Linked DNA regions of Mus musculus. The main gene of each other region encodes a partner of the protein of the gene in region 2 in a complex. Links are inferred from orthologs where the notes say so. Each region holds a gene or a part of one and is shown on either strand. Other genes may lie near its edges. The genes, in order: Dusp16, Mapk8, Mapk8ip1 and Atf2.

Evidence for each region.
Region 1: the proteins of Mapk8 (region 2) and Dusp16 are in contact, whole or in part, in a crystal structure (PDB 4YR8), measured with the Homo sapiens proteins. The link is inferred for Mus musculus from reciprocal best matches to the Homo sapiens genes MAPK8 and DUSP16. Residues at the interface, in NP_001310257.1 of Homo sapiens: Arg189, Val196, Ile197, Leu198, Gly199, Asp229, Ile231, Trp234, Gln253, Thr255, Val256, Thr258, Tyr259, Val260, Asn262, Arg263; in NP_085143.1 of Homo sapiens: Phe215, Leu267, Asp268, Tyr271, Lys275, Pro279, Ile281, Ser282, Pro283, Asn284, Phe285, Asn286, Leu288, Gly289, Gln290, Leu292, Asp293.
Region 3: the proteins of Mapk8 (region 2) and Mapk8ip1 are in contact, whole or in part, in a crystal structure (PDB 3VUM), measured with the Homo sapiens proteins. The link is inferred for Mus musculus from reciprocal best matches to the Homo sapiens genes MAPK8 and MAPK8IP1. Residues at the interface, in NP_001310257.1 of Homo sapiens: Lys83, Asp112, Ala113, Gln117, Val118, Met121, Leu123, Glu126, Arg127, Tyr130, Tyr133, Val159, Lys160, Ser161, Asp162, His286, Val323, Trp324, Asp326, Glu329; in NP_005447.1 of Homo sapiens: Arg157, Pro158, Lys159, Arg160, Pro161, Thr162, Thr163, Leu164, Asn165, Leu166.
Region 4: the proteins of Mapk8 (region 2) and Atf2 are in contact, whole or in part, in a crystal structure (PDB 6ZR5), measured with the Homo sapiens proteins. The link is inferred for Mus musculus from reciprocal best matches to the Homo sapiens genes MAPK8 and ATF2. Residues at the interface, in NP_001310257.1 of Homo sapiens: Asp112, Ala113, Gln117, Val118, Met121, Glu126, Arg127, Tyr130, Leu131, Tyr133, Val159, Lys160, Ser161, Asp162, Cys163, Val323, Trp324, Asp326, Ser328, Glu329; in NP_001243019.1 of Homo sapiens: Phe36, Val44, Lys48, Met51, Thr52, Leu53, Lys54, Phe55, Gly56, Pro57.

Annotation. Positions count from the first base shown.
Region 1 is NC_000072.6:134,717,650-134,724,815, forward strand, and holds part of Dusp16 (dual specificity protein phosphatase 16), read right to left. Parts: intron 2,969-7,166; coding exon 2,845-2,968; intron 1,403-2,844; coding exon 235-1,402; 3' UTR 1-234. UniProt on the Homo sapiens protein: Dual specificity protein phosphatase involved in the inactivation of MAP kinases. Dephosphorylates MAPK10 bound to ARRB2.
Region 2 is NC_000080.6:33,379,818-33,386,983, forward strand, and holds part of Mapk8 (mitogen-activated protein kinase 8), read right to left. Parts: intron 6,809-7,166; coding exon 6,745-6,808; intron 4,135-6,744; coding exon 4,057-4,134; intron 2,508-4,056; coding exon of another isoform or gene 2,503-2,507; coding exon 2,357-2,502; 3' UTR 1-2,356. UniProt on the Homo sapiens protein: Serine/threonine-protein kinase involved in various processes such as cell proliferation, differentiation, migration, transformation and programmed cell death.
Region 3 is NC_000068.7:92,396,061-92,403,855, forward strand, and holds the start of Mapk8ip1 (C-Jun-amino-terminal kinase-interacting protein 1), read right to left. Parts: upstream 5,204-7,795; 5' UTR 5,067-5,203; coding exon 4,969-5,066; intron 1-4,968. UniProt on the Homo sapiens protein: The JNK-interacting protein (JIP) group of scaffold proteins selectively mediates JNK signaling by aggregating specific components of the MAPK cascade to form a functional JNK signaling module. Required for JNK activation in response to excitotoxic stress.
Region 4 is NC_000068.7:73,842,989-73,850,154, forward strand, and holds part of Atf2 (cyclic AMP-dependent transcription factor ATF-2), read right to left. Parts: intron 3,388-7,166; coding exon 3,209-3,387; intron 2,566-3,208; coding exon 2,451-2,565; intron 1,589-2,450; coding exon of another isoform or gene 1,581-1,588; intron 1-1,580. UniProt on the Homo sapiens protein: Transcriptional activator which regulates the transcription of various genes, including those involved in anti-apoptosis, cell growth, and DNA damage response.

The DNA.
Region 1 (7,166 bases), on a different chromosome or scaffold from region 2:
ATCTCTTCTCCTGGCTGGGAGAATTCTAACATCTACCCTTCCAATCTTTTCTGAGAGTTAGCTATTCTCAGTGCAGGTGCTGAGAGAACAACTGTGTTGATCCATCTGTTGCTTTTATACCGTAGCTCTATATTCCAAAAATATATATGTATGTACATATACATATTTCAGATTTACAGGGACTATTTTTTGTGAACAGGAAACAAAACTGTCAACAGAAGCGACGAGGTCTTCTCAAGAGACCTCGATGATCTCCATGCTGCCGGAGAAGCTGGACTGGCTGCCCACCTTGCCCAGCTCCTCCCTGGACCTGTTCTCCGACATAATGCTCTCTCCAAATTCCATTTGGCAGCTTCTGCGTTTAAACTGCTTTTCAAAGGGGCTCTCTTCATGCCAGCTCCGCCTCGAGTCAGCTCTGTCAGTAGGCTTCTGCCGCCTACGAACAGAATAGATTTGGTCACTGCAAGTGGGCAGCTGGCCACAGCTGTAGGCAGAGTAACTGCTGTTGCCTCCATAGATGGCTGAAGCAGAGTACAAGTGTGAAGGCTCCGTAGCAAAATACCAACTGCTGGTCAGGGAGGGGGCAGAGGACTGGGGAGCCAGAATATCTGAGTGCCAGCCCTTGAGGCCAAGCCCTGCAGACTTGGTGAGGTGTTGCTGGCTGGTGGAAAGGCCAAAAAGGAAGTTGGTATGGTAATTGTCCTCTACACTCCCGCTCCGATGCAGTGGCGAGAAGAAGGGCCTCTGGGTGGACCCACTACTGCCGGTTCTCACTGAGTGCAAGCGTGTGACCTGGCTCTCAGAAGGCCTGGGAGGTTGGGGCTGCTTGGGGATGTGGGCCTCCTCCTTATCCGGGCTGGTCTCTGGACTCTGTTCTGATACCTCCTGAACGGGGGAGAACTGGCAGAGCTTGTTGGTCCCATCCAGTGTGGCAGAAGGTTTGTAGTAGTCTAAAGCCTCCTCTGACGAGAAGCCGTGTAGGGACGCGGCCATACTGGCTGAATATGAAACAGATTTGATATCGAGAGAGAAGGAACGCTTGAGCTTAGTGCTGTCTTCCAGCTTCTCTGAGGACAGCTGGAGCCCACTGAGCGCCTGTACCAGCGGACTGTCCTCTAAGAGTGACGGCTGTAAGCTGGGCACACTTGCAGGATGCACAAGCCTTTGCCCTGATGCCTCCGAGGTCGAGTTGGCACAGGGTGGACTGAGAGACAGTGCACTCTTCCATCCGCCCTCTGAGGCTGCAGGCACGGGCTCACTGGGTTTGTCTAGGTGCAGCAGCTTCAGTTTGCTCTTTGGCCCTGACATTCCAGTCTGGTTATTAATCGTCTTCTCATAGTCCATGAGTTGGCCCATAAAATTAAAATTCGGAGATATAGTAGGTCTTTTTTCTTTCACAAATCTATAGAGAGGACAAAGCAAAACCCCTGAGTTTTACAACTGCACTTTGTCTTGAAGCTAGTAAGAGAACGTGGGACGGGACACTACTCCACCTTCTCAGGGTGCTGGAAGAGAACTCACGTACAATTCCAGCACTGAGGTGGAGAACACCTTATCAGGGTGCTGTGGCATGGTGGGTGCCCGCTAGAGGGGATTCTCTAGGCTCCTTGTTTCCAAGAAGCCAAGGCTTCCTGTGCAGTTGATAAGAGGATTCTGCTGAACCCAGGAAATGCCCTGCTCCCTGCCACACCCAGCAGCACAGCAAGGCTAAGCCCCTCATCAGCTTCAGCATCCCAGGATTCCCTCTCCAACGTCCATACTCACTCACATCTCAAGACTTCCCATAAGGAGACGGATGGCACCAGATGGCACAGTGTCAGAGCACCCAGTTCTGGATTTCTTTTTATATTCACAATGTTAGAAAAATCCGTTACAAAGTGACCTCTGGATGCTAAGCACTGTGCTGCTGGACTGAATTACTCAGTCCTTAACCTGCTTCATCTATATCAGGCGCAAAGTCCTTAAGTTCACTCAACAATGAAGCGGGATTCAAACCTTGGACTAATGAGTGTCTAAATCCATCTTGAAAACTCACACAGTAAAACTGTAATGGGATATAAGAATGTGAGCCTTCCCACCTGACTTCAACCTAAGCAGAAGGACACAGGGACATAGCCTAATTGGAGAGAAGCATTGTACAAAGAGGACCGATCTACCTACCCCTCCCGGCACCCAGGAAGACAGACTGCCTAAGCAGCTCGTGTCATTGTTCCAGAATTTACATTCTGAGAAACTCAAATATCAAAAGAAGCTAACATGGTGCATGCATCTATATTCTTATTCTTTTTCTTATGTGACACAACCACTTCTTGTCAACAGAGCATACAACAGAGGCATAAGAGAGAACTCAGTCTCATTTGTCACCAAAGAAGACACAAGTCCTCAGCAATCCTGCCACTTTTTGTCCTTTCCTGAGATAGAAGGAGAGGGCAGCCTAGGCAAAACTACTACCTGTAAAATCTGGCCAACTAGACAGGACGGCAGTTTTCCTCAGATTTTATCCACGAGTGTACCTGGCTTTTCCATCTCTGCAGTCCAGTCCAGCAGAGCAGCCTCTGTGGCCTTGTCAATCAGAAAAGGTCATGCTTCTCTATTGAGGGAAAGGATAAGCTTTCCTGGTCTGTTACTAAAAAGAGCCGAGGAGGGACTCCACATGTTAGAAGAATGAAAGCTAAGCAGAGCCAACTCTTCCTCAGTCTCTGCAAGGCCATGAGTCACCAGGAACCTGTGATGTGTGTGACCAAAATCAGCTTTGTCTACGTTCGTCTGGTCACCCACCTTCCTACCTCTTTCTGTTTCAGGGAAAATGAAAGCAAGTCCCATAAGCCGTGCTCCTGTCCTTACCTGTAAGCCTCATCTAGAGACATGTCCATCCTCTTCATGATGTAGGCAATAGCAATAGTGGCGGAGCGAGAGATCCCAGCTAAGCAGTGGATAAGCACACAGCCATTGGAGGCTTTTGCTTTCTCTGTGGGAGCAAATTTAAGAAAAGTCACTAGGGATTTTTTCAGCAAGGGAATCTTGCACTGGCCATTACTCTGAGTGTTACTGTCGGTGTCTTCACCTGAAACTTCAAAGCAGATCTTACCTACATAGCCTCCTAGTTATCCTTTATTGTTTACAGGGGGAAGGGGAAGGGTAGTTCTCTCACTAGTAACATATCATGAGCCATTAAGGTTTAAAGGGATTATTAATAAGCAATGAATGGGTTACTACCTCAGATTGCTGGGCTCTTATTTCAATTTTTTTTTTTTTTTGCCATGTAATGCATGTGTAAGAATGCAAGTAGAGGGAAGCCAGAGGTCTACCTCGGTTGTCACTCCCCAGGTATGACAAAGTGCCTCACGAGCTTGGAGCTCACCAAGTAGACTAAGGTAGTGGGCTGGGGCAGCCTCCTGTCTCTGCCTCCCCAGTACTGGATTACAAGCGAGCACCACCAAACCCATCATTTTTACATGAATTCTGGGAATCAAACTCCGGTCCTCACGCTTGGACAGGAAGCACCTAAAGGCTGACTGTCTGCCCAGCTATTTGCTTAACTCGAAAACATGTCCATGCTAGAGCAGAGTTCTCTAATAGGAAGCAAGAGTTTGAGACTTGTGGACACCATTAGGAGCAAGCCAGGGAGATCCAGGGGGCGCTGCCCTCTCTGCTGCTGAGGAGCTTCAGCGCGCACATGGAGGAGCAGATGACAGCCCAGACAGCCTACAAGCAACACCATTGTAAGCAAGTCCACGACAGACTCTACCCTCAACTACGACACATGTGCCCAGCTTAAAGTTGTTGTCATGGAGCCAAATCTATCCTTTTCATTTGTGTTATAGTCAAAACTCAGGTTAAGATCATTTTGGTTTTGTCTTTTGTTTTTCCAAACAGGGTTTCTCAGGGTAGCCCTGGCTGTCCTGGAATTCACTCTGTAGATCAAACTGGCCTCAAACTCAAGACATTCACCTGCCTCTGCCTCCCGAGTGCTGGGAATAATGTGTGGACTACCACCAGACAAGGTTAACATTCTTAAAAATTATCAGAATACAAGGAACCTGCACTGCATACTGAACAATACAGAGCTGCTCCAACCTCGCAGCCTGTGATACAGACTTCTAGTAAATGTAGTTTATTACTCATTGCATACTAAATAATTTAAGAGTAATCAGCAAGCAGCATTTCTGTTAGACAAGGGAGCCAAACAGGAAAGAGTGAACACAATCCACACTGACACACAGGGCAGGCTAACACACAAAGCACACAGCCTACACATACTCATAGTATGCTGACATCAACTGCCCACATTATTACCTTCTACTCAGTAGTCTGTCTCTCTTTTCATTGGCTGAAAGGCTCAAAGCAATTCTGATTTTATGTCCCAACATTATACTGTCCCTGTTATTTGGCTCTTCTCCAACTTTGGTCCTCTTGGTGTGTATGCATGAGTGTGTGTGTGTGTGGACCCCAGCCCCTAGCTGGAAGCTGGGAGCTGCTCCAAATCCTGATGAGAAGCAGGACTGGAAGGCTGGGGAGAAGAGCGTGCAGAGCACCGCCTGTCGCTGGAAAAGTTCCACATCCGATTCCAGCACACATCCTAAAACCCCGTGGCTTCAGTTTTCTTAATTTTGAATTTATCTCCTATTATTGCTAGTAATGATCTGAGGCTGCAGAGGTGGTTCAGTGGTTAAGAGCACTTGCTGGAGTTTTGGCTCCCAGCACCCACACTACAACTCACAACTGTCTGTAACTCCAGATCTATGTATTTGATGATCTTGTCTGACATCCTCAGGCACCAAACATATACACAGGTAATACAGGCATAAAAATAAATCTAAAAAAAAATTTCAAATGATAATTATCTTTTAAAAAAGTATAAGAACATGGTCCTGTTCTCACAGTCCTCAACGTATTGAATACTAGCATATTTTATGCAGGCAGTTAATAGTATCTGGCACATATTTTAAAATATTTATTTATTTAATGTATGTGAGAGTACACTGTAGCTATCTTCAGATACTCTAGAAGAGGACATCAGATCCCATTACAGATGGTTGTGAGCCACCATGTGGTTGCTGGGAATTGAACTCAGAACCTCTGGAAGAGCAGTCAGAGCTCTTAACTGATGAGCCATCTCTCCAGCCCCGCACATATTTTAAAAAGCAATTTATTTAAACAAAAAAAAAAAAGAGAGAGAAATGGAAAGAAGGCTGAGCAGACAGAAGTATCTGCTGTCTGAGCTGAATGAGTTGTCCTCTGGCCTCCATGTATGGTGGCACATGTGTGCCCACACACATGTATCATGTACACACAACCATAGTAACAATGAAACTAAAACTTTTGAAGGATGTTGCAAAGAAATAAAAGTGACAGCTGTACAGCCAGCCGCCCGAGCAGCAGTGACGCCTCACAAAGAGCCGGTACTTCCAAGCAGGTGAGACCTGACTCTCCAAAGTGTCCTCTGACCTCCAGAAATGCACCACGTCACATGTCTGCTTGCCTGTGTGTGCCTCTACTTAATACATACAAGTAAGAAGACAAACGCTGTTTTAAAACCCTGACAGAATACGCACTACAGCGTTGATGGTGGGCTTCCTTCCCCTTTCAATTTTCTGTATTGTGTTCATACTGAGTTTTTTTTTTTGTTTTGTTTTTTTTATAGCCACAATTCATCTGATAAGTGTCTTTAATTAAATATAAAAGTGCTTATTCTAGAGCGGGCTCATTAGCACGTAGGTCTTGACAGACTGAGTGCTAGCCCATGCCTTGGAACAGAAGTCCCACACAAAGACCTGGTAGAGAGGAAAGAACCATGAGAGGAGAGCCCTGTCAGTACTGAGCAGGCTCAGAAGGCAGTCTGCTGGAGCTGGCACTCACAAGCCATGGAAGAAATAAGGGGAGGTGGCTGCAAAAGTAGGGACATACGTGTATGTGCCAGCGTGCATGCGTGTGCATGTGTGTGTGTGTGTGTGTGTGTGTGTGTGTGTGTGTGTGTGTGTGTGTGTGTGTGTGGTATGTAGGATGACTCTCGGTAATGCTAGGCTAAGAGCCATCTTCTTGCGTAGGAAATTAAGGAGACTCTGCTAGTTCTGGAGTGACGAATAAGAAGTCAGAGATGGTGAAACTGGAAATAACATCAAGTTAGTACTACAGGAATTCAAAGCAATGTTTAGGGACAGAAACATTGCCACAACAATAAACTAAAGCAAAGGAGAAGGCTGAGAAGACTGAGGGCCTGCTAAGAGCGAGGTGTCAGGGCTTGAAAAGGAAGCGATGGCCAGGGAGGTCAGAGCACAGTTCAGCTGAGGAGAGACAGGAAAAAGTCTTCGTGGTACTCTTTAAAATATCCGTTAGTCAGTGAGGGTAACCTGTGCCTAGAGTCCCTACTACTCAGGAGGAGTGCTTGAGCCCAAAGGATGAGGCCAGCCCAGCAGGAGCGTGTCAGAGAGAGGAGCAGAAAACAGAAAGAGGTGAGCACGTCCTCAGAGCTAACTCTGAGCTGAGTACTCTGCAAAGGTTCGCTGCCTAGAGACTGTCTGCTTTAATCTTCATGCTCTTCATACAAAGCAGGTGTGTTACCCAGCCTTTTTTTCAGGAAACATGCTCAAGAGAGTTTTAAGAGTTTTATGTTAGATACACACAATCGCTTAACTGATAACCAGGGAGGCAGGACTCAAAGTTTGGCTCCAAAGTCCATCCTTTTAATCAAGTCTCTCTGTTGCCTCAGTACAGATTCGTGGACTTGGGGGTGGGGTGGGGTTGAGCAGGAGCCAAGGAAGCAACCATGGAGAGAGAGCAGGAGCTTGGATCATGCCTCTGAATCAACATGGCATCCAATGGGAACATTGATCACAACTGTCTGCCTTCTTAGGGGCTAGAAATCTAATGCTATGCTAGATATACTCAGAGGTACAGTGAGAAAGTATCAGGATGAAGAATTTTCTCTATGATTACTTTAATGTGAACTGTTATAGCTTTTAATCTTGAGGCATTTTAAAGAACAAGTTCAATTTGATGACAGAAATTTCTGGAAAACTGAAGTTCTAAAAAAAATAAGAGAGAGAGGAGAAGGAGAAGAACCACAACCACAACAAGAACTATATCAGAATTACCTGAAGCGAAAAATGTTACCAGGGTTAACATACCTAATTTTGTTTTTTATGGGGAAAATTTTAAAATTATGT
Region 2 (7,166 bases):
TTTCTTAAAAAAATACTTAAGATGCTTTAAGACTCTAAAAGTACCAGTAGGATTTATGTTAAAAGATTTAAACACAGTGGTGTGTTTTGTGTGTGTGTGTGTGTGTGTACAGTGGATCTTAATGTGTTGGGCACATGTTTAACAAACAGACCTTGCTTTTAGGTATACTCTGTTAGGTATTTCAGCTTACATTAAGCATTGAGAGCTTGTTGTTTTTTTTTTTTTTAAATTTAACTGAAACATGATTGCTGGCAAGTGGGAGCTGGCAATTACAACAGATGAGACAATCAAACAACTAGTATTCCTTACTTACCCGAAATCTGAATGAAGAAGATGGCTTCTCAGCAATCAAACACAAACACAGAAAACTAACTACAGCATATCAGCTGGTAAGTGCAATAGTGACACATTTTATCACGGCAAAACCAAAACCAGTTAGATGCAAAACTAATATAAAATAAGAACACACTCATGCTCCAATTTCTGCTAAAATCCTGACTTCAACCTTGTATTTCTAGAACCAAGAGGCGTAACAGTCTCAAATTCATACTTGTCTAATAAAATAAATGCACCATGTTGTACATATAGAAAAGGAATCACTAAAAGATGGGACGCTAGAAATCTTGATAAACTTGCTATGTTTAAAAAGGTAATATCTTAATCTTAAGTATTGCACATTAACAAGACTTAAAATAGCTTACTTGAAAGTAATTGTACACTAAATGTTTTTAAAAAGCAACCAAAAGAAGAAAAATCCAAAAACCAAAACAAAAGAACCTGCTAAGCAACCTTTCAGAAATCTGCCAAGCTGTGCCCGCTCTTACTCCTGCTGATTGTGAGCTCCAAGGGGCTCCGGGCTCCTTCCTACAACCTTGCAGCTCATGAAGTATGCATTTCCCAGTTCATTACATGAAATCCCTCTTGTTCCAGATAATACCAAAGGTGCCTGGGCATTATAGACATCATTTCAGAAATAATGAGACCTTGATGACATTTTACTTAGGAAAATTCAGTTACAGAGAAAGGATTCTGCAGATATAAAATGTAAACAGTTAACACACACTTGTCAGGAGCAGCACCATTCTTACACTACTCAACGTCCATACTGGAAATCAGATATAAAAAACCAAAGACTCAGATGAAAGAACCACCACTATGCCTGCTCTGCTCACTGTGAAGAAACAGTCCTTAGAAAATGACATCCTACATATGGCTGTGTGCTACTATTTTCAGATGAACGGCATATTGCTCATTTAAATGTCACCTACACAAGTTTAAGTAGGCTTTGGAACCTCCTGACAGCTAGTAGAAACAGGATAATGCTACAGGTAGAATCAAATGGCCAGAAACACCACAAACTGGTGCTCAACAGACTGACCCGCTAAGGAACAGGAACTGGGAAAGGCCAGAGGCCAGAAGCTGTCCAACAGGGAAAGTCCAGGCTCGTGGCCAATGCCAGGACCTACAGCCTGAGGAGATTAACTCAGTGTCTACAGAAGCAGGCTCGTAGCCAGGACAGGGGAAGCATCTGTTGATCTCCACGGAAATGTAGATTCATGAAGTGTCCTCTTAACTTTGTGTGATCAAAAGCTTTAAGCATGCCACAGATGATCAGAATATACCACATTCCTTAGTTTAAGTTTTTCTTGGGTTGGTGTAGGAGATTCAAAATGGAGAAGGATGTGCCCAGCATCTTTAAAGACATGCTCTGAGTTATTCTGCCATTAGATAAGGTGTTTGCTAAAATTTAGGTAAGGTTGCCTACCAATTGTTTTAACTAAGTTGGGATTGGCAAGTAGCAAATATTGGAGGTTTCTTGATGCGTTCATCATTTACAGTAGTTATTCCTGAATATAACTGGCTACAGGTTATTTTCCCTTATTCCTCTGGGGTTATTTCATTGATAAGCACATAACCCTGAAGGATAGCATCATGAACAAACATCTGAAATAAATTCTAATAAAAAACTTATAAACATCTTAAATAATTCATGATATATGCAAGTCACCACATAATAGTTGCTTTGATAAACAAAAATTTTACAAATTCAGTAAAAAAATCAGCAGCATAAGATAAAGCAAATATGCAAAATTTAAACCATGATAAAATAATTAGGTTTACATTATACAGTTAATTACAGCAAAAATACAATACAGTTTTGTTGCTGTTTAAAAACACAACTTAAGTTTTAAATTACAACACTTGAAATTAAAAAAAATAAACTACTTTACTACAAAATGAATTCTACATTTTCTGAAAAATCACTCAAAAATATGACCACTGAATTGTTTTTAAAGCAGTTCTATCAATGACTAACCAATTCCCCATCCCTCCCACCCACCCAAGGCCCAAGTAGTCATCTACAGCAGCCCAGAGGTCCAGCTGATGCTTCTAGACTGCTGTCTGTATCCGAGGCCAAAGTCGGATCTGTGGACATTGAAGACATGTCATTGACAGACGGCGAAGACGATGGATGCTGAGAGCCATTGATCATTGCTGCACCTGTGCTATGAGAAACAAAACAGCAAACCAGTTGCAGAGAGAGTTGCAGACCGGGCTGCCTGGCCTGTGCTACCTACCTTCAGGGTCTATAGACTTCTCCTGGGCTTACGGGTTGCTGAATCGTATTGAACCCAGCACTAATGTTCTCTTATGCACACAAACTACGAAGGGAGAATTGTGAAAATGTCTAGAAACCTATACTTGTTTTCCTTTCCATAATGCATTTTTAGTTTAAGACAAGAAGTTAAAATCCAAGTAACATGGAGAATGGCCCTACAGCAAGATCCATAAATGGGCCTCAGGGTGTGTTCCAAAAGAGTTGAGAGTACATACAAAACTGCTTACACTTCATTTTGTTGGAGAGAAGATCTCTAAGATCCAAGTAACTAAAAACAGCCTGAGAACTAAAATAGTATAGAAAATTACTTTTGATAGTCTCACAAAAACCACAGTGTTCAAGTGATACTCCTGGGTCCATCTTACAAAGTAGAAGCCAACACAAAAGAACAGCATCTTAAAAAAAAAAAAAAAAAAAAAAAGCCGGGCAGTGGTGGCACACACCTTTAGTCCCAGCACTTGGGAGGCAGAGGCAGGTGGAGTTCGAGGTCAGCCTGGTCTACAAAGTGAGTTCCAAGACAGCCAGGGCTACACAGAGAAACCCTGTTTCGAAAAACCAAAAAAAAAAAGACCAGCATCTGATCAGGAGGGACCTGAACCAAGTGGCCAGTCTACAAGAGAGTGTGTCACTTACCAGGTAACCAAAACAGCCTAGTAGGTAAACTCAGGCATACTTTGACCCAGGTAAATACCAGGCAAAAACAAATACAAACTTACTAAACAGAGAGAAAATGCTTTTCTCTGTGAAAAAGCAGTATCGAACAAGCATTTCATGCATTTAAAAAATGAAAAAGCTCAAAAACCAGGAAAACCTATGGAGAGACAGAAATCCTTTTAAGGGGGAAGCCTCATTCAGAGGGAAGAACATGTTAAAGCATCTCAACAAGATGGAGCAACTTTCAAGCCATAAGCTCACTAAATAGAAGTACAAGAACTTAAGTTCTCAAAAATACATATACAGAACAAAAACAGTGTGTAGTGCTCAGGGCCCCAAGATGCTAAAGCCGAGCAGGCAGGACTCTGCTGACGCACTTGTCCCCCTTCTGTACAGTGATGAGCAGAACACTGAGAGACAAGAGGTCCTCAGAAGCTTGTATTCAAGTGTGACTAACGTACTAAAAAGAACGTCAGAACGTGATGGCACACATAGCAAATTTAGCAAATTTTGTGGTGAAGTTTTTATCTATTCCAACTGAAGACTTTTCAAAGCAAAGAATAAGGAACTCTAAGGGATTTTTTCTTATTTAAAGACATGGCTGTGGTGTCAATGAAAACTGGCTTTAAATCAGCAAATGCATCAAGACAATAGTGTGTCATGGCTTTCAAATTTAACTACCAAACTGAGTGAGCATGGGAAGAACTGCAGATTCCAGGCCTCTGAAGATTATAACACAAGATGCAAGGCACAATCACAACCAGGTTTATATTGTAACCAACCTAAAGGAGACGGCTGCCCTCTTATGACTCCATTCTTAGTTCGTTCCTCCAAATCCATTACCTCCTTGTATATCAGTTCTGAAAAAGAAGAGGAAAAGTGACTCTCAGGCATGAGTCCTTAAGTCAAAGCTTCTATCTGTTAGGTGCATCAAGCTGGGTTCTTGCAATGATAGCAATGGCAGAGGATCTGAGTGTCAGCTTCAGACTCATAGGTGTTAGCAATTAATTCACTGATCTTCGACCACAGATAGATGTTGATAGAAAGCTAAGCTCTCTGCTCTAATTGTCCCAGCTGGTTAAAGGGCAGCTGTTGTCAGAAACCAGCCCCTGCCTTGAGTGTATCAGCCACACAGCACTCTGCCTTACAGACCCTTGTCTAATTCTGTCAAAGTGAGACCTGAGGTCAATACCTTCCTTCTACTTCCTGGGTTCTGTCCTAATGCAACAAGGCTGTAATTAGAAAGATTTATAACCAAAGCAGCATTTACAATTAGAATGGGACAGAAGGGTATTTTTACTGAAGGAAAAGAAGCAGCAGCTTCAGATCCTTCCAAGTAGCCTACAGCAGGTGTCAGCATCAACACCCCTTCCTAGGACTCATGGATCCCAGCAGACCATTGCACGACAGATTTGCCTGCGGAAAGACACAATGCTCTTGCTTGTGATTCTGACTTGTTTGGTATCATTATCTATCACTTTTGAGTCATATACTCTTTGAAAAATTACATAAAAGTAATTCTGTGAAAAAATATAAAGAACTTCTCAAACATCTGTGTAATTCCTGAAGTTCAAGGTATTTCTGTTTTGTTTTGTTTATATAGTATCCTTTGCTGGAGACCAGGCATGGATGGCACATACCTGTAATCCTAGTACTTGGGAGACTGAGGCAGGAAGATCACAAGTTTGATGCTAGTCTGGGATACACACATACTTCTATTTCAATATTCTTACAACTTTAAAAGCATTATCAAAAAGCTGAATACTAAGAACCAACCAACTACCTAACCAATAGATAGAAAATTTATTTTTCATCCGAACAGGAAATTATCAAAAAAATACAAATGGATAATAAATGTATGAAAAAAAATATCAACATTCCACATGTCATCAGGGACACACAAAAATAGTACCAAGATTCTATCCAACATCAATGGAAATGGCTACCATCTATCAAGAAAGCCAAAAGTAACAAACGCTGGTAAAGATGTGGGGGGAAAAAAAAGGAAGCTTCATACATATTAGAGTAAAAATGTAAATTATAATAGTCACTATAGAAATTACTGGTTCCTCAAAAAAACCCAAAAAGCAGAATTCCATTAAAGGCACCTAAGGCAGGCAATAGCAGAGCTATCTGCACACCCATTTCTATTGTGGTACTATCCACAGCAGTAAATACACTATTAGTGTAGATGGCCATCAACAAAAAAAAAAAGCACGGAGAAAATGTGGTAAGGTTGGGTACGGTGGCAGTCTTTAATCTCAGCACTCTAGAGGCACGCAGTGCTGGGGAAGTTTGGCATTAGTCTGCACTACATAGGGAGTTCCAGGCCAGCCAGGCAGACCTAGCTTTTTTGAGATCCTGTCTCTAACAACAACAACAACAACAACAACAACAACAACAACAAGTGGTTTATGTGTATGCAAATTAGTTTTAGCCAGCTATAAAGTAGAATGAAATTATGTCATTTGCCAGAAAAATGGATAGAACTAGAGATTATCAAGTTAAATAAAATAATTTTGACTCAGAAAGATAAATATTGCATGTTTTCTTTCCAATGTGGAACCTGGGTTTGACAATATAAATATACATGACACAAATACATACAAGGGCTGGTTAGGAGGTGAAAAGGGACCAGAGAGAAAATAAGGGAGGCCATGAGAGAGTAACAGGAGGTTGGCACGAACAATGTAGAGGTTATGTCCATATCTGAAGATGTTATAGTGAAACCTGTTACACTGTACACTGAAATAATAAAAAGCATATTTATGTATGACCATATTAATAAAATAGAAAAAAACTAGATCTGATGTTCAAAGATGATAAATTAAGCCACTCTACTGGTTAGAGTGGCTGTGGATCAATACTCTTGTATCATGCTGACAGAAGCAGAAACTACAATTTCTTTAATAAAAAATCAGGAAGTAACTAAAATTTAAAATTTGGTCCAGCATATAAGCTTTTTGGACTACTGTCTCAATTCTATGAAGTACGTGCACATAAACACATGGCCACAGTAACAGACTGTGTGAAGGTCCACCTTCAGTGCTTCTCACAAGGGAGCTGGATATGGACTGGGACACAAGCTTCCCTATAGCTCACCACCTGCCAGCTATTAAAGTGTGACGTTAGACCCAATAGGGTCTGTCATCTTCAAGATATATGGATACATCAACAAACAGGTGTGTACAGTACACTGAGAATACAAGCACCAGTCATCTTGTAGATGGGACACCCCAAACATGGCTGCTGGAACAAGGAAGAAAACACTAATGTGACTATAACTGAGGTACAAATTTTCAAAATTAAGGAAGGAAACTGACTTTCTACTTTTGTAAGACAAATAAACAAAACCTTACTACTAAACATAAGTTATGAAAACAGAAAGCAACACTAATTTCTGTAACATGAAGAAGTCACTATGGAAAGCCAGAGGCTCCCTCAGTGTCTGAGACTCCGGTGAGTGTTACCTTTCCACTCCTCTATTGTGTGCTCCCTCTCATCTAACTGCTTGTCCGGGATCTTTGGTGGTGGCTGAAAGACACAAGTCAGAACAACTGTTATAGTTTACTGGATGTATATATACAATTAATTATTTGAAATATCAGCTAGACATACAACTTGCAAAAAATGAATCATGAGACAAAGGTCAATCAGTTATCATTAACTTTAACTTTCTGGAGAGTAGTTCTGTAAGATTCCTTTCTAAGTAATAAGCTGTTTGTCTTTTTTCTTTTATCTCAAATTTTAAAATTGTCACATTCTACCTATATTTCAGAAATCTGTTCTGCTTTAAATACAAAACATTGTTTCTATCTAAGGATGCACCCACAGGCATCCTAGGCTCCTCTAATCAACTGTGAGTTCAACAGAGTGAGAAACAGTGGAGGTT
Region 3 (7,795 bases), on a different chromosome or scaffold from region 2:
TCTGGATGACGTGAGACCTTGTTCTATCAAAGGCAGGGGTGGGGGTGAAGGAGGCAGACTGAAGGACCCACGGCTTCCCCGAGAAGACCCACGTGGTCAGGCAGTTGTGTGATGGGTGAAACCTTGCTTTACTGGGCAAGCTTCTGGTTCTGGTTTCCAAAACCTAGCCGCAGACTCCCCTCTCTAGTCTCTCTACTGTCCGGCTGGCCTCAGTCTTCTAAACTCATTCCAAAGCTATATACATGCAGCCAACTAATGAGCTCCTGTCAGATGCTGGAAACCTCAGCTGCCTGGTGAGGATAGGAGCAGTGTGGCCCTTACTTACGAGTCCAGGAACAGAACACAGCCAGCACCCAGGAGAGTTTCCCAGAGTTGGACATGACTATGAGCAGGGCGCCAGGGGACAAAGTTGACATTCTAGAATGGATAAGACCCCTGAGTGGGGATGGGAGCAGTGATACAATTTATAGGAACCTTAGTCCTCAAGGCAGAATTAGGTTGTGCCATTTCCCAGAGATCCAGATACCCAGGTGAGGGCTGATGCTAGGTGGCTGGGGTAGACCTCCTTCCCGGGCTATGGCTGGGCTGTGTGAGGCTTGCAGGCTAGCCAGCTCTTCTGCTCTATGTCACAGGCTCACCAGCTAGGCCAGAGGCAACAACTGTCATTCTGCTTCCTATCCTCACCACAGCAAGGCTGGTGGTCCCCATCTTATCCTCACCATGTCCTAGGTTCCTCCTAAGGTGACGGTAGTCTCCTCTGAACAGTGACACTCCCAGAACCATGGTTTGAACACTTCCCACCTGCCCTCCCAAACGCTCTCTGCCAAAACCAACTGCTCACTTGACTGCAGCAGCTCCATCAGCAAAGATCACCAATCTGAAATCTGGCAAGCACTAAGGTGCTAACCCTGCTGCCTGACTCCCCTCTCATGTCCCCAGGAGCCCAGGCACCACCCTGGTTTGTCGCTACTGCATCTTCTTTATCCTCAGACCAGCGGGAAGACCTGATCTGCCCCGTCCCCTAACCGTCTCCTATCCTGATCCCATGCCTTCTCACCTGTCTGCAGAATGGGCAGGATGGATGGTCCGACCACAAGTCTCCCTGCCTCCCCATCCACTCTGCTCAGCAGCCAGAGTGAGCTCACACCATCCACCAGCTGCTGGCAGTCCCTGTCTGACCCCAAGACAGCACCCACTGCACAGCTCTGCCCTTCACACTGCCAAACAGGTGTCACCCTGCCTATTTGCCTATTCCCTAGCCTGTCCTTCCCTGTGAACCTTCCCCCTCTGTGAGGATTGCTTGACTTTCCCCTGTGGGACCTGTACCTGCATGATCACCACACTCGGCCTATGTGGGAAGACACTGTCTACCTCTACATTGTTTCCTGCATTGGGGTCAGACTCATGTCAGGACCTCTGCATACTGCTCCTCCTGATGAGCCCAGCAAAAGGTTTGTTTGATGAGCAATGCCTATGGCTCTGTAAAGCTGTAAATGAGGCTCTGCTCTGAGGTGAGTGCCTCTTGTATGGAGGCAGCGCAGTAGGGTCATCTGACATCATCCAGGTTTCCATCTGGGTCCTGGCTCCATCCCAACTTTATGATTAACTTGCTGTGTGTTCTTGGGGAAGTCACTGCCCCTTCATGTTCCTGCATAAGAGATATTTACTGGGCCATTTTTCTGTTTCTGTTTTGTTTTCTTCCACAGTGTAACCTAGGCCCTCCAGCACACCAGGCAAGCACTTAGCACCCATCCCCCAACCCTGACAAGTTGACATCCTCCGAGGTCTCCCCTTTCCAGGACTCTTGGGCATAGACTTACAGCAGGCTGTTCATATTGCTTCCCATGAATACTCCTTTGTCCTGCTGACCCTTCCACTTGGGATGACTCTCCTTTGTTTCAGCCCTTCATCCCACACACCCAGGGTCAACGGATCCATTGTGTAATGCTCTAAATCCCCTCCCCTAGAGCTTTCTTTATGAAAAACATGGAAGAGTTAAAAATATCCTTTCGCTATGCTGTAAGTAACTCAGTAACTTATACACACATGCTAATCCAAAAATAAGAAGCCAAATGGTACCTAAACAGGTAAATTAGAAAAGGAAAAGTCCTCACCCCACCCTACATGCAGATAGATATACCACTAGGGACCAGATGGAAGATTTCCATAGTCAGAAATCCACCCGGCACATACTCATTTAAATCAGCTTCCAACAGATGCTCCCATCTCTCAAGGCCACACATGCTCACCCCTCCAAAGGTGCACCCCAGGATCCCAGGGCTCGCTCTCTTGGTAGCAGAGCTGAAATTTCTTGGTTTCCTTCTCTGAAAGCAGTGGTAGTACTAACCCATTCACATGGTTACAGCAGCACACACGCTTGGACCCACGAGGTTCTCAACACGGTGCTTCCCACTACTCTGTTCTCCAGGAGAAACGGCCCCGTGCGTCCACCCTTCATCCGTAGTAAACCAGCCCTGCTGAGCACCTGTTCTGGACTGAGTCGTGCGGAGAGCAGAGCACTGACATAGACTGCTTACACATCCTAGAAGCTCAGAGTAGAAATCACACACACACACACACACACACACACACACACACACACACACACACACACACACACACCTGAGTTCTAGAACCATCCTGATTAGGGGCAGACAAATTAAAGGAAAAACAAGGACCCAAAGGGCTTAAGTACGCAGTAGTGGTGGAGTACACAGCTTTAAGAACAGTTGAACCAGCCGGGCGTGGTGGCGCACACCTTTAATCCCAGCACTCAGGAGGCAGAGGCAGGCAGATTTCTGAGTTTGAGGCCAGCCTGGTCTACAAAGTGAGTTCCAGGATAGCCAGGTCTACACAGAGAAACCCTATCTCGAAAAACAAAACAAAACAAAACAAAACAAAACAAAACAAAACAAAACAAAACAAAACAAAACAAAAGAACAGTTGAACCCACAGCCCTACCAAAGAGTCACAAGATGGGCATCGAAGATCAGGGTTAAATGGAGCCAGACCAGTGGCTGCTGAAGCAGGACAAGAGAAAGGGCAGTGGGGGTTGTTGAAGTAGGCAGTAGGCCATGTAGGGCCCCACTGCCCAGTGTTATCTCCAAAGCCCGCTTTGTCTCACAGCTAGGGCACAGTGTCCTGCAGGCCAGCCCACTCCTCACTCAGCCTTTTGCTATACTGTTGCCCCCGCTCTACATAGCCCAGAGTTGGCCACACATTCCCTGGCTAGTAGCCTTCATCTTGGCTTCTCGGGCCTGTATGATAAACAATTTCCTGCCAGAATAGGGTGTGAGCCTACCCTGGGCCAGAGATAGGGCCTATAGGGAGAGGGAACAGAGAAGGCTGAGACCTGGTTTCAGGTTCCAGTCCTGACCTTCCAGTCAGATTTTTCTGTGGTTCCTAGGCTAGCCCCTCTGCCTTCCTTATCTTCCATCGCCTCAGCTCAGCAAAGGGCAGATTAGGGTGGGCCCTCAGGATGGTTGTGAAGGTTCAGTGAACTACCCTGGAGAAACACTTTGACAGAAACAAGCTGTACAGATTTCTGCCAGTGTGGCCGGCTACCTGTTGAACAGTGACTTGGTGCATACTGTCTCCTTCCCAGGCAGGAATCAATATTAATTAACCCACTCCACAGATGAGACCAAAGACAAAAGCAAGCTTGGATCAGGCAGCGAGGAAGCAGTGGAAACAGGATTCGAACCTCTGTCCCTCGCAGCTAATTCTCTTCCCCTGCAAAGGCCTGACCTACCAGGGAGAATCTGAAGCATTAGCCTGGAGGCTTTCCTCAGGTTTGGAACCATCCTCTGGCCCCCTCCTTCTGGTTCTCTCAGCTGGGTTTAGGGCCTCCTTGGAGGATTCAGGGCCTGATCATACCATTTAAGATCGTGTGTGTGTGTGTGTGTGTGTGTGTGTGTGTGTGTGTGTGTGTGTGTGTGTCTGTGTGTGTGTGTGTGTGTGTGTGTGTGTGTGTGTCTGCCCACCTGAGGACCTGGGAGCTAGAGACCCCTTCAATAGATGACAACTTGGCGCCAGAGCCCAGCTGGGGCCTGGCTGGAGCAAGGGTCCCAGGAGAGAGAAAGGCGCCTGCTCCTGATGGGGAAACAATGAGGTATGTCTCAGCTTCTACATTCTGGAGCAGTGACACCCTTCTCTTCTTCGTCACTCTCTCTCTCTCTCTCTCTCTCTCTCTCTGTGTGTGTGTGTGTGTGTGTGTGTGTGTGTGTGTGTGTGTGTGTGTATGTGTGTATGTGTGTGAAAAGGTGAAGAGAGGACAGTCACCGGTTCAACACATCATGCCTTACATCTCTGAAATTCATTCACCTGGTCTAACATCAGATGGAGGGGTGGGTCAAAGAGGAGCTCAGTTCGGTGTCCTGAGTCTTTACACAGTGGGGACCCCCCAACAGTATCCCTGGATATCCACAGGCAGATTCCCCTCCCTCAAGCAAATTGGGTTTCACTGGTTGAGGCCAATCCTTCTGCACCTGTCCTGAGATACAACTGACCAGGGAGCTGCCCAAATTCAGAAGACCCTGTCCAAGATCGCCTAGCAATCTGACCCATCTGGCCAAGCTAGCTGGGAGAGGGGTTCACGACTCTTCTTAAAGGACCAAGGGTTTTGAATTGGGGCCTCTGGGCCCCCAACCCCTTAGCCTACTTCCACCTTGGGTTAGATACCTTGAACGCGGCAGGATAAAGTCTGGGCGGATTGCTGCACCGGGAATTCCATCCAAACCCCAGACCCACTCCCGCCAAGGTGGAGGGGAAAGGCGACCTCCCAGGTTCCTGCCCCAGATCCACCTCAATCACCCCACCCCATGACACGGAATGGCAGAAGGAGCTGCGGGGGGCCACGCGGTGGCCACCAACCTGGACTGGAGGTTGTGGGGGCTGGGGGCTCGGCCGGGAAAGGACGCCGCCCTCAGGGTCTCCAAGGATCCCGAGGTTCCGGGCCTCGATCCTTACCTGAAATTGGGAGGCGACGCGATGTGCAGTCCCAGGAATGGGGAAGCGGCCGGTGGGGACGCGGCGCCCCCGCCCAGGCCGCTCTCTCGCTCCGCCATTCCGGGGTGCAGCCCTGGCCATCCGGGCGGAGAGCGGCGCGGGAGGCGGCGGCGGCGGCGGCGGCGGCAGCAGCGGAGGCGCGTGGAGGAGGCCGCCGCCGCCGCGGGGTTCGGACTGAGCTGGGGCGGGCGCGGCTCCGGACAGCGCGCCGCTTCGCCTGCGGCCCCCGCGAGAGCGCCCCGCGCGCGCCCCCGGGCCGGCTGGGGTCTTGTGGCCCCGCCCCCGCCCCGCCCCGCCCCGGCGCTCTCCGAAGTGCTGACGCTTCGATCCCGTGGCCCTGGGTCCCCTCGGCCTCCCTACACATCCCAGGGACATTCCAAGCACTGGCAAAGCTTTGCTCTCCTCAGAGCTGGACCTAGATCGAGGGCATCAGCGGATGGCAAGATCCTGCTCCCCAAGTCCGTCTTTGGCCTTCCACAGCAACTGGGGTAGGAAAAGGGTTACAGAAGATGGCTGAGAAAGGAGAGATGGTGGTGGAGTGGGGTCCAAGAGCAGTCAGCTATGGGGCCAGGTGACCTAAGACCACAGCTTGGTTCCACAAGTGAACAGGCAGTGGAGAATTGCATTAGTGACCTCATAGTTCCAAGGCTTGTCTTTCCCATGTGTGAAATGGAATATGAGCCCTCCATGAGCATGGGGAGGAAGAAAAACGATAGAAATACTTGTCCCTGGGAGCTGGGAACACCCACCTGTGCACTGGGATCACCTCCCGCAGAAATCTCTGAAGGCCACCTCTATCAAGACCCACCCTTTAGTTTTGTTTTGATTTTTGAGACAGGGTTTCTCTGTATAGCCCTGGAACTCACTCTGTAGACCAGGCTGGCCTCGAACTCAGAAATCCGCCTGCCTCTGCCTCCCAAGTGCTGGGATTAAAGGCGTGCGCCACCATGCCCGGCCTAAAAATGTGTAGCCCAAGCTGGCCTCCAACTCGTGATCCTCCTGCCTCTGCCTCCTTCAGCAAAGACCCCCTTGAGCCCTGACCACCCCTGATAACCTGAGTGATGCTTTTGGTTTCTTAGCCCTGTGAAGCCTCTGTATGCCAGGACTACCCCATCACTTGTTTTTCTTTCATTTCCAGTTTGTCCTGGAAGTTACCATGTAGCCTCAGCTGACTAAGAACTGATGACAATCTTCTTGAGTCTCCTGCTAAACTGGGGGATTAGTGTGAACTCCTGTGCCCAGTTCTCAGCACCTGTCTTCCCACTGCGTTTTCTATCTAGCACCCCTTTTGCACTCACACAGTCCTGAACTGGCTTCTCCTACCCTAAGGCCTAGGACCTTCCTCATCCCCAGGGCCGGATTCTTGAGAGCTTTGTGGTTGCTTCTGTTCCTTGCACCCACTCTGGGTCTAGCTGTGCTTTCTTCCTGGTTCTCTATTGGGTTTTCTCACACAACACCGTTTACCAAGACTCGAGTCCCCGTTTTTGGTGGCTCAGAGAGCCTCCCTGCCAGGTCACCTCTGGCCACAGACCCTGCCCTTCACATAAATGGAGCAGGACAGACCAATGTTCTACAGTCTGTGCAAACTTGATTGCCTCCTTCCCCTTTCCAGCAAGAAGCGTAGGCACCTACCTTGTAGTACTCAATCTCCCTGCTTCAGCCCTGAGAACACTCCAGAACCTAAAGCCAGAGGCCTTGGCTGCCTCTCCCCTCCCTGCCACTGATGCTTCAAGAGGTAAAGGTTTGGTCACTTTAACTCTCTGCTCTGGCTCAGGCCTCTCACAGGAGGCCCTGCCCAAACCATCTGCTGTTAAGGCACCTTCCTCCCTCCCTCCCTCCCTCCCTCCCTCCCTCCCTCCCTCCCAGGAAAGCAGCCATGCCTGATTAGCATGGTTAATGTGTGCTTGTCTCCACTGGGCAGCATCCCCAGGAGGTCAGAAGTGTGTGAGTATGTAGGACAGTTCCCTCTCATAGAACCTCTGCTCAAGAACAAAGGTATCTCAGCTTCTCCAGCCACGCCAAAGCTACATGAGAAGCCCAGAGAGGGAGGCCAGTCTTAGTAGAAAGTAGGCCAGCAGAAGCTTGGAGGCAGAGCCAGGAATGAGATGTGCCCTAGAGTAAAGCTCTCCTTCTGTTTATAGAGCAGACTGTGATTTTCTTTGGCTTTGCATGAGCCCCTCTCGCACCAGGAACACCCATGTGCACGGCATTCTGGCCAGATGGTACAAGACAGGGCCAGCATCCAGGCCTCAGGCTTGGCAGTAGCTTCCTTAACTGTGTCTAGAGGGCACACATACCTTCTTAGCACATTATAAAGAATGGACGCAGTACTCTGGATCTCAACAGGCTACTCAGTACTACTGAGAGGTGGCACGCAGGAACTGATCTTGGTACCCTGTGTGGTTTGGGCTGACTTTTGTTGCTAGCATACCACAGTAGTTTACAGTCTCCTCTATCCAAGGGAGAATAAGACTCCTCACTCCAACAAGCCCAACACGGCTTGCCTTAAAGCTTTACTTAGGTTCAGCCTCAGGAGCCCAGGTCCCAGACCTCCCACAAGATAGATTACACAACACAGTTTTACTCAGACAGGATCAGACATTTATAAAACAGGTAAATATTCACAAACAAACTGTGGGAGAAACACAACCTTCCCAGCAATAGGGAACTCTGTAAAGTGCTTCTTGCCTGCAACCATCTCTTCCCCATGCTAGGTCCCAGGAGGAGGACATGGGGCACTGTTCTGTGACAGTCCTCAGGGCCACTCAGGCTAGGCAAAAAGAGGCAT
Region 4 (7,166 bases), on a different chromosome or scaffold from region 2:
TTTATTAAAATAAGTACATGAATTTTCTAAAATGTATGTGCACTGATGTATTAATGTACTGTGTACTAACATAGAAGCCGGTGCCCCCTGATAATGCCTCAGGTGATACTTTAACAGGGTTTGCCACTTTCGCTTTTCACTTTAGAAGAGTAAGGTTAATTAATCTCTTTTTTTCATTACAAGTTGCCGTTAATACAGGCACATTCAAAAGGATAATCATTTTATCTCAAATACAAAGCAAGAATGTTTCCTGCTTTAAAAATATCTTCAAAAAAGAGAAAGCAAACCTTTCCCCGAGTCTTCACTAAGACTTTTAAGTAATGCAATTTGAATAACACGGTTCTGTTTAAAGAAGAAAAATATTTTGGAAATACCTCAATCAATGATAATTTGGACATTTAGATTACTTAAAAATTCCAGCACTCATGTGGAGAGGCAGGTGGATCTCTGTGAGTTCAAGGCCAGCCTGGTCTACATAGTTCCAGACCAGCCAGTGCTATATAGTGGGATCCTGCTTCAAAACTGGAAGAAAGGAAGGAAGGAAGGTAGGAAGGTAGGTTGGAAGGTTTTTTAAATAAACTTAATACTTAATATGTTACTAATTTTGTTGAGGAGCATATCCAAACCACAAATTTTAGAATGTTGCTACAAGTAAGCTTTAAAAAATAATCTCAAAAAGCTATATACTGGGCTGGTGAGATGGCTCAGTGGGTAAGAGCACCCGACTGCTCTTCCGAAGGTCCGGAGTTCAAATCCCAGCAACCACATGGCGGCTCACAACCATCCGTAATGAGATCTGACACCCTCTTCTGGAGTGTCTGAAGACAGCTACAGTGTACTTACATATAACCAATAAATAAATTTAAAAAAAAAAAAAAAAAAAAAAAAAAAAAAAGCTATATACTAAAGGATTATACCACATGAATCAACACTATTTATCCATGTAATAATAAAATTTTTACATTTCTTTACTTTGCATATATGTTTCCACATACATGTCATGGCACACATATGGAGGTCAGAGGACAATTGCTGGCATTGGTTCTCTTCTTTTGCCATGTGGGACATGGAGACTGGAACAAAGGTTGTCAAACTTGGTGACAAGTATCTTTATCCACTGACACATCTCACTAGTCCCGGGGGGGGGGAAAAAAACAACAACAAAACCCTCCAACTATATTCATTACATGAATGACTAAGGCTTAAAGTATTCTTTAAGAAAGTTTCAAATTATATATGTATCATAAATAATTTAGGGAAAATGAAAATAGTATGTTTTAGACAACTTTGCTAGATATCTAAAAGTTCTTTTCAGGATGAAAATGTAAAATGTTGGAAGACTAATTTGAAAGTATGAATAAAACTATTTTTGTGAAATATGATATGAAAAAGAAAATTTTCATCATTTCAAATACAGTGCTTTTACATAACAATTTAATCTTTCCAATTGTGTGTACATGTATTTATCTATGGGTGGGCATGTGTGCCAAGTTCTCACATCTTCTATGGCAGGAGCAATAGTCAGTTGTGAGCCATCTGCAATGGGTGCTGGGAACTGAACTCATGTCCTCTGCAACAACAGTGCAAGCTCTTAACCACACAGCTCCAGCATTTTTTTTTTTTTTGGTTTTTTCAAGACAGGGTTTCTCTGTATAGCCCTGGCTATCCTGGAACTCACTCTGTAGACCAGGCTGGCCTTGAACTCAGAAGTCCACCTGCCTCTGCCTCCCAAGCACTGGGATTAAAGGCGTGCGCCACCACCGCCTGGCCCAACATTATGTTTTTAAATGTTCACTAGACAACTCAATATAGTTAATTACTTTTTCTTTATTTCCCAAAATTTGAGTATTTAGTGTGTTTCTCATAAAACTTTTTTTTTTGGATTTTCTCACAACAGTAACCCAGGCTGGCCTAAAATGTATTATTTAGCTGAGGCTAGCTATGACCTTCTTCTGACCCTATCTTTATCTGTTGACTATTGGGATTCCTGGCATGTGTCATCAGGCCAAGATATGAATGTTTGGACTTTAACATGCCTGGGCCACTAAACTTCATGTAACCATAAAGGACAAGTGTGTTTTTTGAAGAATTTTTATAACTATAAACACCATAGCTATTTGCCAGCATTCCAAAACAAGTATCTTAAGAAATATTTGAATTTCATAAACCTAGTCAAACTGGAGTGAGGTGAATCAAGAAATAATGCAATAAGAATACAGAAAACAAGAGTGGGCTGGGGGTAAAGAAAGGTTTCAATCCAATTATGTTTGCCTAGAATATTATAGTCGATTACAGGTAATGATGAATAAATACTACTCCCAATTAATAAACACTTGATAAATTCCATTTTGTAAGCCAATCAAGCAGTTCAAATATATTTTCTGGTTATTTTACCCAGACCAGTTTAGATACAAAGACTTAAATTTAAATGGTCTAACTTTCCAACTTACTGGGACTGCAGCTGGAACATGCACATTAGAACTTGTAATTGATGCAGGAATAGCAACGGGCATGGTTTGTCCATTAGGAAGATGTAAGAGAAGAGGAAATGGGCCTGGTACAGGACTAAGAAAAACAAAACAAGGGAAAAATGTAAAGATCCATACCAACCACCTCTGCAAAGTAACAGTCTTTTCCCTCCTATTGCTTAAAAATAAGTTTTCTAACCTTAAAAGGGCAAATTACAAAACTTAGATATTTTTAATTGCATCTTAAATGCATAATCTATGTAAGAGTGTTTTTTTTAAAAAGCCTGGGGAAAAATCATGGATTTCCAATTTGTGAAATGAGAAAATTTCTCATCAGAAAGGTCTTGGGAGTTACTTTTAAGAACTGAGACAAATGTCATCTTGAAATGGAATAGCTTTGTTTTGTGTCAAAAACCATAAAAGTAAGACCATCTTAAACTTATAGTCTATTTTCATTATTTTAGCTAAGATTTAGATATTTATTGTCCAATGTGTTAGATAATATTATTTTTAAAATATTAAAAGTTTCCAAAACCCAAGACAGACAGATCTCTTTCTCCTTTTTTCTCTCGTGTAGCGCGCGCGCGCACACACACACACACACACACACACACACACACACACACACACACGTTTTAATTCAAGTAATTAAATATCCTAGGGAAAACCATAAAAAAACAAAACAAAACAAAAAACCCTAACAACTCATGTACAGTCAGTGAGTGACTGGAATCACTTACACAATTGGCCTGTTAGAGGATGGTGCCTGGGTGATTACAGTACTTGAGGTTGGTGAAGGTACTGCTTGTTGAATAATTACACTTGAGTCAGAACTTGTGAGCAGCACATTGGGAACCTGTAATGATGCTGGACGAACGATAGCTGATGTGGGCTGTGCAGTTTGTGCCAATGGTACTTCCTATTTAATTTTAAGATAAATAAAGGGTAGTATTTAAAAACGCAAGTTAATTCATGTATCCCAGTGAACAGAATGTAACACATTTATGAAAGCAACCACTAGATAATACTTAATGCCTCTACAAGTAAATTAATATCTAAAGTTAATTGAAAATATCTAAGCAGTTGTAAAGTTCAAATGTAATTCTTAAAATTTAAAAAAAAAAACCCCAAATCTGTGTTTTTGGTTCAATGTGTTTATTACTCTAAAATAAATTAGGCTGGGCTACTTGGCAATGTTTCTGTGAGAATTTCAGTAAGAAATACAAATACAATTTACTGTCAGTAATCAAAAATCAAAACCTGCAAGGGATTGTCCTATCCTATTTGCTTATTGTATTACAAAATCAAGAAACTGATCCAGCAAGATAGTGCTATGACTTAAACAATTTGGTGTTCAGATGTGGTGGTGATGCACGTCTTTGATCCCAAGGAGACAGAGGCAGGTGGATCTCTGAGTTTGAGGCCAGCCTGGACTATAGAGCAAGTTCCAGGACAGCCAAAGCTACACAGAGAAGTTCTGTCTCAAAAAAACAAAACAAAACAAACAAACAAACAGAAATGTTTTAAGACATTTTAAATTAAGAAAAAAAAAAGTCTGCTAATCTCAGGTAGTTTTTCATTTGGTAACATTAATTTTCTAGTATCAAAAGACCAAGTGAGTCATACAAAATTAGCAGGTAGAGCTGAGAGCTTTCCAAACTAAAGAGAAATAGAATTTATGAATCAGCCAGGATGATTGTTAAAATATTTCCTATTTTTTCAGATTACAAAAGAGATGAGGGCCTTACCCAGAACTCCCTAACTATTGTATCCTTTTGAACTGGCCTTTATATAGCTACTTTCAGTTGGAGTCTTAGTAAGATACTAGGAAGGAGAAATTAGTAGCATTGTAACTACAGTTTTCAGCACATCTAAAAACTTCCAACTCAAGAACTAGTGAGCAGAATGACAATGAGTAAAACCATCACAGAAACTTCCTACCAGAAAGGACATTAAACATTCTACAATAAATAATGATTTAGCAGAGGGTAAGGTAGAGCTGGGCACTGTAATAGTGAGGAAGAAAACCTTGCAAAAAGAAATCTGATCTGATATTGAAAGAATCAAGAAGAGGCAGGCTATAGAGAAGGGGGAATGCTAGGCAGGAAAACCTTACAATATTTGATGGATAGAGAGAGCAGGAAACGAGGATGGATGAGTAGACAGTCAAATCAATGAGGCTTTTCCTAAGGAATAAATATAAATTATCTTCAAGAGCAAATTGCTAGAAGATTTTCAGCAGAGAAGAATGACTCAATAAATTTTTAAGTTCCCACACTTAGAACTAAGAGAAGCAGATCAAAAATAGAAGCAGGTTTGAAAGGAAATTTAGCCTGGTATGGTTGGCATGCATACAGTCCCAGCAACCTGGGGAAACTCACACAGAGGATTATTAATATGAAACTAGCTTGGGAAACATAAAGAAACTTTGTGTTTTGCAAGAAAAATAGAGGGAAGGGGAACCCTCAGTAGTCTTAAGTGCGTGCTTGGGGCTCTCATGCCATTCTCAGCACTGGAGTAGGGAGAGAGAGAGAAGCCGGGTAGTAGTGGTACAACTGATAGATGACAGCTAAGACAATTACACTGAACACAAAAGTGGTATGAACCTTATTCAAAACATGCTTGGTAAATGAAGATTTGCTATTGGTTTCAAAGTCAAGGTAGAAAATATAGAACTAAAGGTGACACCTAAATGCTTTGCTTAAATAAGTAGATAGATGCACATTTCCCTTTCTTTTTTTTGTTGGAAGGTGCAGGAAGGGTATTGGAAATGAGAGGCAGGTCTTGCTACATAGCCCAGAAAGTTTTAGCAGTACAGGCTAGCCTTGAATGTGCAATACTCCTGACACTACCTTCCTAGTGCAGGAATTACAAGGACATACTACCACCATGCATGGGTAGAGAAAATTTTCTCAGAGGAGAAAAATGAGGACAGAATTAAGGGCTTAGTTTCAGACATACTGAGATGTTCCCTAGACAAAGTAAAGGAGATGACAACAGAGAAACTGTATTCAGCAATCAGGAGAGATACCTTGGCTGATGTAAATTTGGGAATTACTAATTTATAGTTTCTATTACAATTCTTGATGGAAATCCCTAAAAAGAAAATTAGAACAGAGGAGGTCCCGAACTGATTTTCCACAACTTAGTGGATCTATGTACTACCTAAAAGAAATTAATGACTAAGGAATGCAGAAGCAGCACCCCTAGAAGGTGATAAACTAGCCACAAGAATGAAAACTGGAAAATATAAAGGGAAAGGGATGCTCTGCAGGGAAATAAGGCTGTTCTCAGGATCCTTAATAACTATAATAAATGTGGAAATGACCGTATGTTAAGAAATAAGGGGATAATTAAATATATCTAAGGCAATAATCAAGTATAACCATTAAAAATTGTGATTTTGGGAAATCTAATGAAAGGGAGTATGTGCCTTTGCTTCCAAGAATTCTACCTGCCCAGAATTTCAATTCTCAATATTGGGAGAAAGAGTAGTATAGAATAAGGATAAAATAAAGTATTATTATATTCTTATACCATCTATTTGTGATTTAAAATAAATGTTATTAGAGATGAAGTTAAAAAATGAACTTTATAAAAGTTACAATAAGCCAGATTAATTTGTTACTGGAAGAACTGAAAAGAAACATTTAGTATTGTCTACATATAGTGTATAGCCAAGAGCAGTATAAAGTCATGTCCCAGGCCTTCACACTCACTTGACACTCATTCACTTAGTCCTGAAGTATAAAACTCCACTCTGTAAGCTTTACTCATGGTTGGTGTCCTTTAAAGTATACCCTGTATAAATGTTTATACTGGTGGTCAGTCAGGCGGTCTGTCTGTCTCTCTTTCTCTGTGATTTGAGTATACCTGTATGTGTACATGTTTGTGTGTGGGGATGCAGGCATGCACATATAGAAGCCAGAGGACAATCTTTGGGTATGAGTCTTTACCTTTCTATCTTGTTTGACACAAAGTTTTCTTGCCACTGTGTAAACTAGGTACCAGACCTAGGATTTCTGGAGATTTTCCTCCTCCTCCTCCTTTCATCTCCCCTTAAGAGCATGAAGGGATTACAGGCACTAGTGCTACGGCATCTGGTTCTTATGTGGGTTTTGGGGAATCAAAACTCAAGTTGTCAGGCTTATGAAGCAAGTTTTACTCAATGAACCATCCTCCCAGCCTGCATTTTTAATTGTGCCTTTTCTATGTTTAAATACCTGTGTGCTATAATTACCTACATGGTCAATATAGTAGTATCAAGTAGTACAGGTTTAATCTAGGAATAATAGCTTGTAACATACTAAGTATATAGTAGGCTACATTGTCTACATTTGTGTAGATACACTCTGCTTTGGAAAGAATGATGAGATTGCTTACTGAGACTTTTTTTTAAAAAAAAGATATATTCCTGTCAACAATAAATGACTATATTCTCATTGTAGAAATCTATTCATCTTATGATTTTATAATAACATTAAAAAGGAACACTATCACTGTCTCTTTATGTATAGACATAGTGCTCCTATATAAATTTGCTCATTTTATGTGTTTTTCAAGTGAATATGTGATGAAGTACACATCATGATGTAACTTAACACTTAACAATAGCCCAGAAAACCTAAGTTAATGTACTTAAGGAAATATCATTCACCGTTGATATCAAATATATACTGGAGTAATAATTACTCATTC